2 linked regions of the Ovis aries genome follow. The protein of the gene in region 1 interacts with the protein of each later gene in a pairwise test. Links are inferred from orthologs where the notes say so. Each region holds a gene or a part of one and is shown on either strand. Other genes may lie near its edges.

Evidence for each region.
Region 2: the proteins of TECR (region 1) and HACD2 interact in binary tests that used the Homo sapiens proteins (3 or more experiments, as listed by UniProt). The link is inferred for Ovis aries from reciprocal best matches to the Homo sapiens genes TECR and HACD2.

What each region holds. Positions count from the first base shown.
Region 1 is NC_056058.1:9,554,037-9,557,497, forward strand, and holds part of TECR (very-long-chain enoyl-CoA reductase), read right to left. Parts: intron 1,815-3,461; coding exon 1,764-1,814; intron 1,078-1,763; coding exon 1,026-1,077; intron 723-1,025; coding exon 678-722; intron 584-677; coding exon 480-583; intron 408-479; coding exon 292-407; intron 211-291; coding exon 105-210; intron 1-104. UniProt on the Homo sapiens protein: Involved in both the production of very long-chain fatty acids for sphingolipid synthesis and the degradation of the sphingosine moiety in sphingolipids through the sphingosine 1-phosphate metabolic pathway.
Region 2 is NC_056054.1:188,809,534-188,814,051, forward strand, and holds part of HACD2 (very-long-chain (3R)-3-hydroxyacyl-CoA dehydratase 2), read right to left. Parts: intron 4,109-4,518; coding exon 3,991-4,108; intron 1-3,990. UniProt on the Homo sapiens protein: Catalyzes the third of the very long-chain fatty acids (VLCFA) elongation four-step cycle (condensation, reduction, dehydration, and reduction).

The DNA of each region.
Region 1 (3,461 bases):
AGAGTGGGGTGGGATGGAGGCCCCGTGGAGGGCAGGACCCAGGTGAGGGGCACCAGGGAGGGCGGGGCAGAAGGGCCTGGGCCGATGGGCAGCTGGGGGCCTACCTTGAAGATGTTTCGCAAGGGCATGGTGCCGTGGGAGAAGCGGTGCACGAACAGCGTCTCCAGCAGCCGCTTGATGTAGTGGAATGAGTGGCAGATGCAGGCGAGGCTGGGGGCGGGGAGCCAGCTCAGCGGGGGCGGGTCCGGCGGGCCCCCCACCCCACTCCTCCTCCCAGCCGGCCCCACTCACTGCACCACCGTGTGCCGACTGGACGTGAAGTCGTATTTGTGGCCGTAGATGAAGGGCACCCGGAAGTAGAAGAGCAGATAGATGAAGAGGGGCCCGGCGTACTCTGTCAGGAAGACCTGGGGAGGATGGCGAGTCACCCCGGGGGCACGAGGAGGCGAGACTGCAGGGGAGGAGGGCTCGGCACTCACCGTCACCCAGCTGATCTGGGCCCCCAGGTCCCGGAAGTAGAGTGTGGCCGTGGTGCCCACGGGCAGCTTCTGCAGGACATCCTCATCCTTCAGGGACTTGCCCTCTGAGGAGAGTTGGGCCAGGGCTCAGGGGCTGCTGGGCCTAAGCCCACGGCCACCCTGGAGCCCGGGGGCAGCCCAGCAGACGGCTGTACTCACTGGGGTCCAGGCGGAGGGACTGGCGGGCGGGGTACCACTGTGGGTCTGTAGGGAGAGTAGGGTGTCAAGGCACACGGCCAAGTGGGCTCCTATGGGCCCCGGTGTGGCTCCCAGACACGGAACGGAAGCGCAGCAAGAGGGGGATGTTGTCCTTCCGGAAGCCCTGCAAGGGCGTTCCTGCGGGTGGCCACACGGGGGCGGCGGCCCCAGGCCAGCCCCGAGAGGCTTGGGCCACACCAGGGGCATCTCTGCAGGCCCTTGAGGGAGAGGCAGGCAGGATGGGGTCCCACCTAGAGGCCCCTGCCCAGAGGGGTCACAGGGAGCCGTGTGTCTGGGCCCTGGACTTACGAGTCTTGGTGAAAAGGTTCTTGATCTCAGCAATGGTGGCTTGGGGCTCCACCTGGGGGAAGCACAGGCCGGAGACAAGTCAGTTGTGGCAGAGAGTTTGGAGGGCCAGGGGCCCAGGGTCTCTCCTGGGGAGGTGGGATGGACTGGGGTCCTAGACAACTGCTATGAGAGGGGGAGGGTTGGAGACCAGGCCCCCCAACTCATCCAGCCGACACCACAACCATGGGCCAGAAGGCCATTTTAACCAGGCAGCCAGGACGCCTCTGGACCAGCTGGGGGATGGTGTGAGCATGGAAGCCAAGCCTGCTTTGCCCCTCCTCTCCACCCCACCCACAGCTCCTCCCCGAGTCAAGGCCCTCAGTCTTTTCCAGACCTCCCTGGGATGGGACCACCCCACTCCCCTGGACTGGCCTCAGAAGGGGGCAGGTCTCAGGACCCCACCTCTCTCCCAGGCACCAGAGCCCTGCAGGGTCCACTGAAGCTGCACGGCCTGCTCATACACCATGAGGCCAGCTCCAGACCACACCCAGGGAACAGGACGCTCTGCCCCAAGGGGCCGAGTGGCAGGGGCAGGCGCAGGGACACACCCGTCCTGCACACCCTGAAGGGCAGGGGGTGGCTGTCAGGACACAGCTGGAGGGGCATATCCATCTCCCCAGGGGCCAAGACCCCAGAAAAGGAGGAGTCCCAGGCCCAGCACCCTCGGGCCCACAAAGCTGGCGCCACGGCCGGTCCTACCTTGTCCAGGAAGCACAGCTTCTCCCGGGTCTTGGCATCCAGAATCTCCACCTCGAAGAAGAGAACGGCTTTTTTAGGTTTCTTGGTCGCTTTGGGGGGCGCAGGCCGGGGGAGGCCATTGAGGCCAAAGCCAGGGCCGAGCCCCTGGCTGCTGTCCCGGGCCGCCAGGCTCACGCTCAGGTCCATGCCTCCCCGCTCTGCCCGCAGCGGCCAGAGTCCCCAGCTGCCGGCCGTCAGCCCCCACCACAGACCTCCCCACGCGAGGCGCTCTGGGTCGGGCCGGCGCGATCAAATTCTGCCGCGGTGCTGGAAGGAAGCCCGTGCCTGCCCTGGCACTGCCAGCTTCTGTGCAGATGTAACCTGAGTGGCCCAGCAGCCACGACCCAGCTAAATATAAAACTGCCCCACCGGAGTCCCCCAGGAGCCACACCACAGACCTCCCGGGGTGGGGGGCACCTGGGAGCAGCACCCCCAGGCCTGGGGGGTTCCGACTGTAAGGCTTTCCAGTGGACGTGGACCCCCAACAGTACGGCAGGGAGATGCCCAGGATGGGCACGGAGGCGGGTCCCAGCCCAGTGCAGAGCAAGGGCTAGTCCACCAGGAGGAGGGGGAGAGGTCAGCGGGCAGCCCAGGGCCCAGCTCAGCCCTCAGAGCTCCCTGGGCTTGGAGAAATCCCAGCTATTCTGAGAATCCGTGAGATAGATCATTCATTTCCCCTTCTGAGCTGCAAGGGACACTCTGGATTAGTTTCCTCGTGCGTTCATGTTCCCAGGGAAGGTGACAGATTCCGGGGTTCCCAGCGCGGAGAGCCTCATTCTAAGCGTGGAAAGGGTCTGGAAATGGAGAAGCTTCCACCAAGCACCCTCAACCAATCCTGAGACCTTGGCCCCCACCTCCATGGCCCCCTCTCCGCCTGCTTCTCATCAGGCCCACCCAGGCCTTGTTCAAGGCCACCACCAGGGCAGTCCTTCCACCACACCAGCCCAGCACAACATCTTTGTCCAGGCTCTGAGCCCCCAGAGCCCAGAGCAGACATCCCAGGCACCCCCTAGTCTCTGAGCCCCAGTCAGGGGAGCACGGGGGCAATGCTGGGAGGGGCAGGGCTCCGAGGGGAGTCTGACCCACCCGCTCTAAGCAGGCAGACAGAAGGCATGCCAGCCAGCAGTGAAAGGTGCTAACTTGGGGGAGCTGGAGTGAGGCCTAGCAGCCCCAGCCTGTCATGAAAGGTCTGAGGCCCCTGGGGCAGGGCTTGATTCGGATCTTATCAGACACCCAGGCAGGGCTGGGTCTGACCCCAAGTAGGCCCTTCCCACCTGGCAGGCCCTCATCGGAGGCAGCATGGAGAAAAGGAGAACGTGGAACCCAGGGCAGGGCCCTGAACAAGGCTCTCTGAGGGCACATCCACCCAGCCAGGGACCCCCCCCCGCCCCCGCCCCAGGGAAAGGGTTCCTCTCTGACACCCCCTACTGCCAGCAGGAGAGGCAGGGGCTCAGCAGGCGGCACACAGGACTGATCCCAGGCTTCTCTCTCAGTCCCACCCTGGGGGCAGGTAGGAAGGTGTGTACCTTGAGGGGCTGGCACGGTGCCTAACAGACCAGACGTACCCCAAAACGTCAGGATGTGAGGAGACCCCGAGGGCCTGCAAAGAGGGAGAGGGGATGGGCCTGGGTTCAGATCCTGGCTCCCCACGCCAGCCAG
Region 2 (4,518 bases), on another chromosome or scaffold:
TAGTGATGGACATGTGCTGAAGATGGTCTATTTAGCAAAAACAATAAATGTCTCTGTAGAGCAGTCCTTAACTTATTGAAATCCTCACTGTTAATCACAGAGGCACATCCAATTACAAGTACCTGAAAGTGTCTTTGTGGTAATTACAGTCTTACATTAACTAAATATATTTAGAAATCCAAATTCTGTTGGAAATAAGTTTAAAGTGCCATAATGTAGGATCAATCTACCAATTTCTAATCTTTAACCGAATTCTCAACAGGAAAGATAGAATCCTTCCTTATCCAGGACTATCATGGACAACTCAGAAAAGAATAAAGTAAAAAGAAAACTTATCCATGGGTCATTATAGATGAATGGTATTTTAAAAAACTGAGATATAGTTCACATATCACAAAATTCACTTAAAGTATACTATTCAGTGATTTTCAGTTATGTTTCTAAGGTTGTACAACCATACCACCATTTAATTCAAGAACAATTTCATCACCTTAAAAAGAAATCCTGTACCCATAAGCAGTCACAGCCCTTGGCAACCATTAATCCACTTTCTGTCTCTCTGAATTTGCTTATTCTGGATCTTTCATATAAATGGAACCAAACACATAGCTTTTTGTTTCTAGCTTCTTTCACAAAGCATGTTTTCAAGATTCATCTATGTCGTAACAAGTACCAGTAATTCATTCATTTATGGTATGAAGAAACCATTTTTTATTTATCTATGAATGGCATTTAAAAAATATACTTCTGTTACCTATGTTAATTAACTCCCAGGATTACTCCACATTTAACTCAAGACACAATGTATTTATTTACACACTGACCTCTTGGCCCACAAAGTTACCAGCATTTTACTTTCTATAGATTTATAAATCATCTCATATCTTAGTATCTTCACTGTACTGTGTCTCATGACTTTGGTGCATACTTTCTTGGGCTTGCTGCCTAAAACCACTTTTCTAGAGATTGTCCCTTCCCTCCAACTTCTATACGGTTAATGTGACCCTGCTCTTGTCTATAGGTGACTGGACCAGAAATAAGTACCTAATTTAAGCTGGACAATTAGGCTCTTCACTAGGACTATGGAAATGGAAATAAGATTGCTTTTAATTAGCTGCTCTCTTGATTGCAGAAACTACAATCTCAGGAGTTTTCTATTACCATGGTCTGCCACGTAGACTAAGAAACCAAACAAACAAACAAGGAAGCAAACAAACCAGTCTGCAGGAAGAGAAGAATCAGAGGAAGAGAGAGAGCACGGTAATGAGACACCGCAAGAACTCCTGGGTTCCCAGTGGCGCTCCAGTCCCTGATTCCAGGCCATTCCTAGGTCCCAGGTGCAGCCCCACCATTGGGTTCCATGGGACACACTATACATTTCTAACAAAGTCCCCTTACAGATGAAGTCAGTCAAGGAGGTTTCTATAATCTCTAGCCAATGGTCCTAACAGAAGCATCTACTCAATAAAATTTTAATATCTTTATCAGTAAGGGTTCAGTCTCCATGGTACCCATTACAGTGACTCAAGCACATACTTATTTAACTATCACCTGTGGAATATTTTGGAAAACTATCTATAAAAATTACTCAAGACATTCTTGTATGAGTATGTGGGAAAAAAATTGGGATTTCTATTTTATTAAAAAGCTATATTATTGTTTCACAAACTCAATATATCTTGTACATATTTTGCAAAACTTCATTTAATTTCCTCAGAAATTAAATGGACATTACTACATGTCCATTTATACATGATTAGTAAATGTTTCTAAATTTTTTTAAAAGCAAAGTGTTATATTTTCCTGAGAAGATTTGAAGTTTCTTGAGAACAAGTAGAGTCTATTTCAAACTCTCATAGAACCTATTAAGGAATAATCATATAGATTATTATTCAGAATATTCTTACAGAGGTACAAGTGAGTGGCTGACCTCCCTGGACTCATTTTTTCCTCCTTTAACAGGGTTTATTATCAAGCACTAATAACTCACAAAAGGACAACTTATCTGTAATTAAACAATACTAAGCACATGTAATTATCATACCATCTAGGTTGGGTAGGCGAGAAAACATTCCTTAATGGACAGCTCAGGAAACGCTGTTCTAGCAAGCCTGATCTTTTCTCCCCAGTTGAGGGGTCCCTTCCCACCACTGCCATCTTCAAAGCTAATATACTGCACATTCCAGGGAGTCTTCATTCATTTTGCAGAGTACTTTTCCCAGAATCAAATCCAGGATTTGTCACCAAATTGGTTTTTACTGGGGATAATAGAGATAAAACCAAAACTCCAAAGTATTTTCTTAAATCCCTATTAAAAATTCTATAAGGATAAATGGGCTAATCCCTCCCAGGCTAAGATTTGGTTCCTAAGTGGATTTTTGTATCACACTATTTGAGGTCACTACCTTCCCTAAGATAATCTTAAAATTTCAAAATTATACCTCTAATATTACCAAGTCTTACAGAGACAGACTCCCCTTTAAATTATTACATTATTCCAATGGGGGACCACTTCCTACTGTGTCAAGCACTGAGGCAGTTTCTAATGGTCTTGATTCCAAATTTGCTTCTCTGTAGCTTTAGAGAACTGTGTGGGCCAAAGGTCCAGGAGACAGGTTCTACTTATTTACTACTGCCTCTTTCCAAAAAAACGTCAACCTCCAAGTTTAAAATATGGCCTAAACTACTTCCACCTAATTATTCTACAAATGAGAAAAAGAGGTAGACAAGAGGTAAATGACACCCCCAAATTCCCAAAGTAAGTTAGTAAAACTAGCATGCTTAGAATATGGCACTCAAGCTCCGGCTGCAGGCTCTTTACATCACACTATCTACCTTAAATGTGTAAGAAGGACAGTATCGAAGTCTCTCTGCTTTTTCTGCTTTCAAAAATTAGGGGAGAGGTGGAAGGAACACATTTTATTTCATAGAGATAAATGGTCTTTTCTTAAATAGTCTTCCAAACATCATGACGGGCTTGGCCTAGAGGCTACGTGAAATGAAACTGAATACCAGATCTGCTCTGCACCCTGAAAAATTTTCACCATAAAGAACTACGGCAGCTATTGTGTGTGCCCAAAGCCATCTCATCTCCCTTTTTCCATTAACAAAGTCTACAGTTTCTTGGCCAGAAGGATGTGCCCCAGATCTGACTAATCAAGTATCTCACATCACTGGCAAGAGTGATTGTCCTAAGTAAGGCCAACCAGAATCCTTCCCTGACGCTAAGAAAAATAAGCTCTCTCACACCATGTGGAGAAGGCAATCTGCAGCAGGAGAGCCTAAGACCAATATTCAAAGAGAAGCAGAGCAGCAGAGACGAGAGATGGAAGGAGAGTCCGCAGCATCACATCCTTGGTTCTCACTCCTCATTCCTGAGCTGGTCCCTTTGATTTTGTAGGCTTACCCTACATCTTTACCAACCATGGGAGCCGATAAATTTCCTTTTGCTTAAAATAATTTGAATTGGGCTTCTGTCACTTGCCACGCAAAAATCCTAACATACTTAACCCAGAAGACAGGAATGGATATATACATTATCCTTAATACAGGGAAATTAATAAACTATTCTTTAAGAAAAAATTTGGAGGCTTCTAGACAGTCTCTACTGTTTCTTATATCTGTCCCTCCTGACATCCTACACTTACCAACTTCACTGTGCCCATTATATGCCAGGCCCCAAGAGTATCCGAGTTTGCTAGCAGTTCCCTAGAATGTTCCTGGAACTTTTTTAATCCTAATATAAGTCTGTTTAATTTGATTTCCAATAAAAGTTGAATGTAAAACACATTCCAAGTAATGCAAGTTAAATGAGATCTACTTGACCTGGTCAAAGAGATAAACTAGACATCAACATTATACATAGCATACTATGAGGCAAGTTTTTAACATTTAAAGCAAATCCAACAGAAACATGGCTACTTCAATACAATTTAGTAGCTTGTTTTAATTTTACAATAGAAATCAACAACAACAAATCACAGGACCCACCTCCAATAAGGCTCCAGTTTGGAAGAATTTCAAAGGCTTTTCAATGGAATAATAAAGGCTGTGATAGCTACCCTTAGCCAGGTATGCTCTGACCAGACCAACTGCTATAACGAGCCACCTAAGAAAAAGAACAATCAGAAAAAAAAAAAGGTTAAGTAGGATTATAATAGAAAGACATGGCAACGACAGATACTGCCAAAGGTGACCTCAAGAATCTGTCCTGGATTTATGATCACCCTCAAATGCCAAGCTGTATGTAATGCACAGAAATGCTGCACCATCAGCAACATCCTAACAAGAGTGCTTTTTTGTAAGAGCACAGTGGCACCTCACCCATCTGGAGCTTGGCTTTTTGGCAACCTTGCCTATTGAGAACAAGGCCAAAAGGAAGGGAATAAGCTAAATTGGTCCTTGAGCGGCTATATTAGGTGCCAGAAAGTACAAGGCAAAAGAAACTATTACAGGCAAATTTAATGCCCTGTGCAGTTAAAGGGTCTGTAATAATAACAGGGTGAAGATAAGATGTTT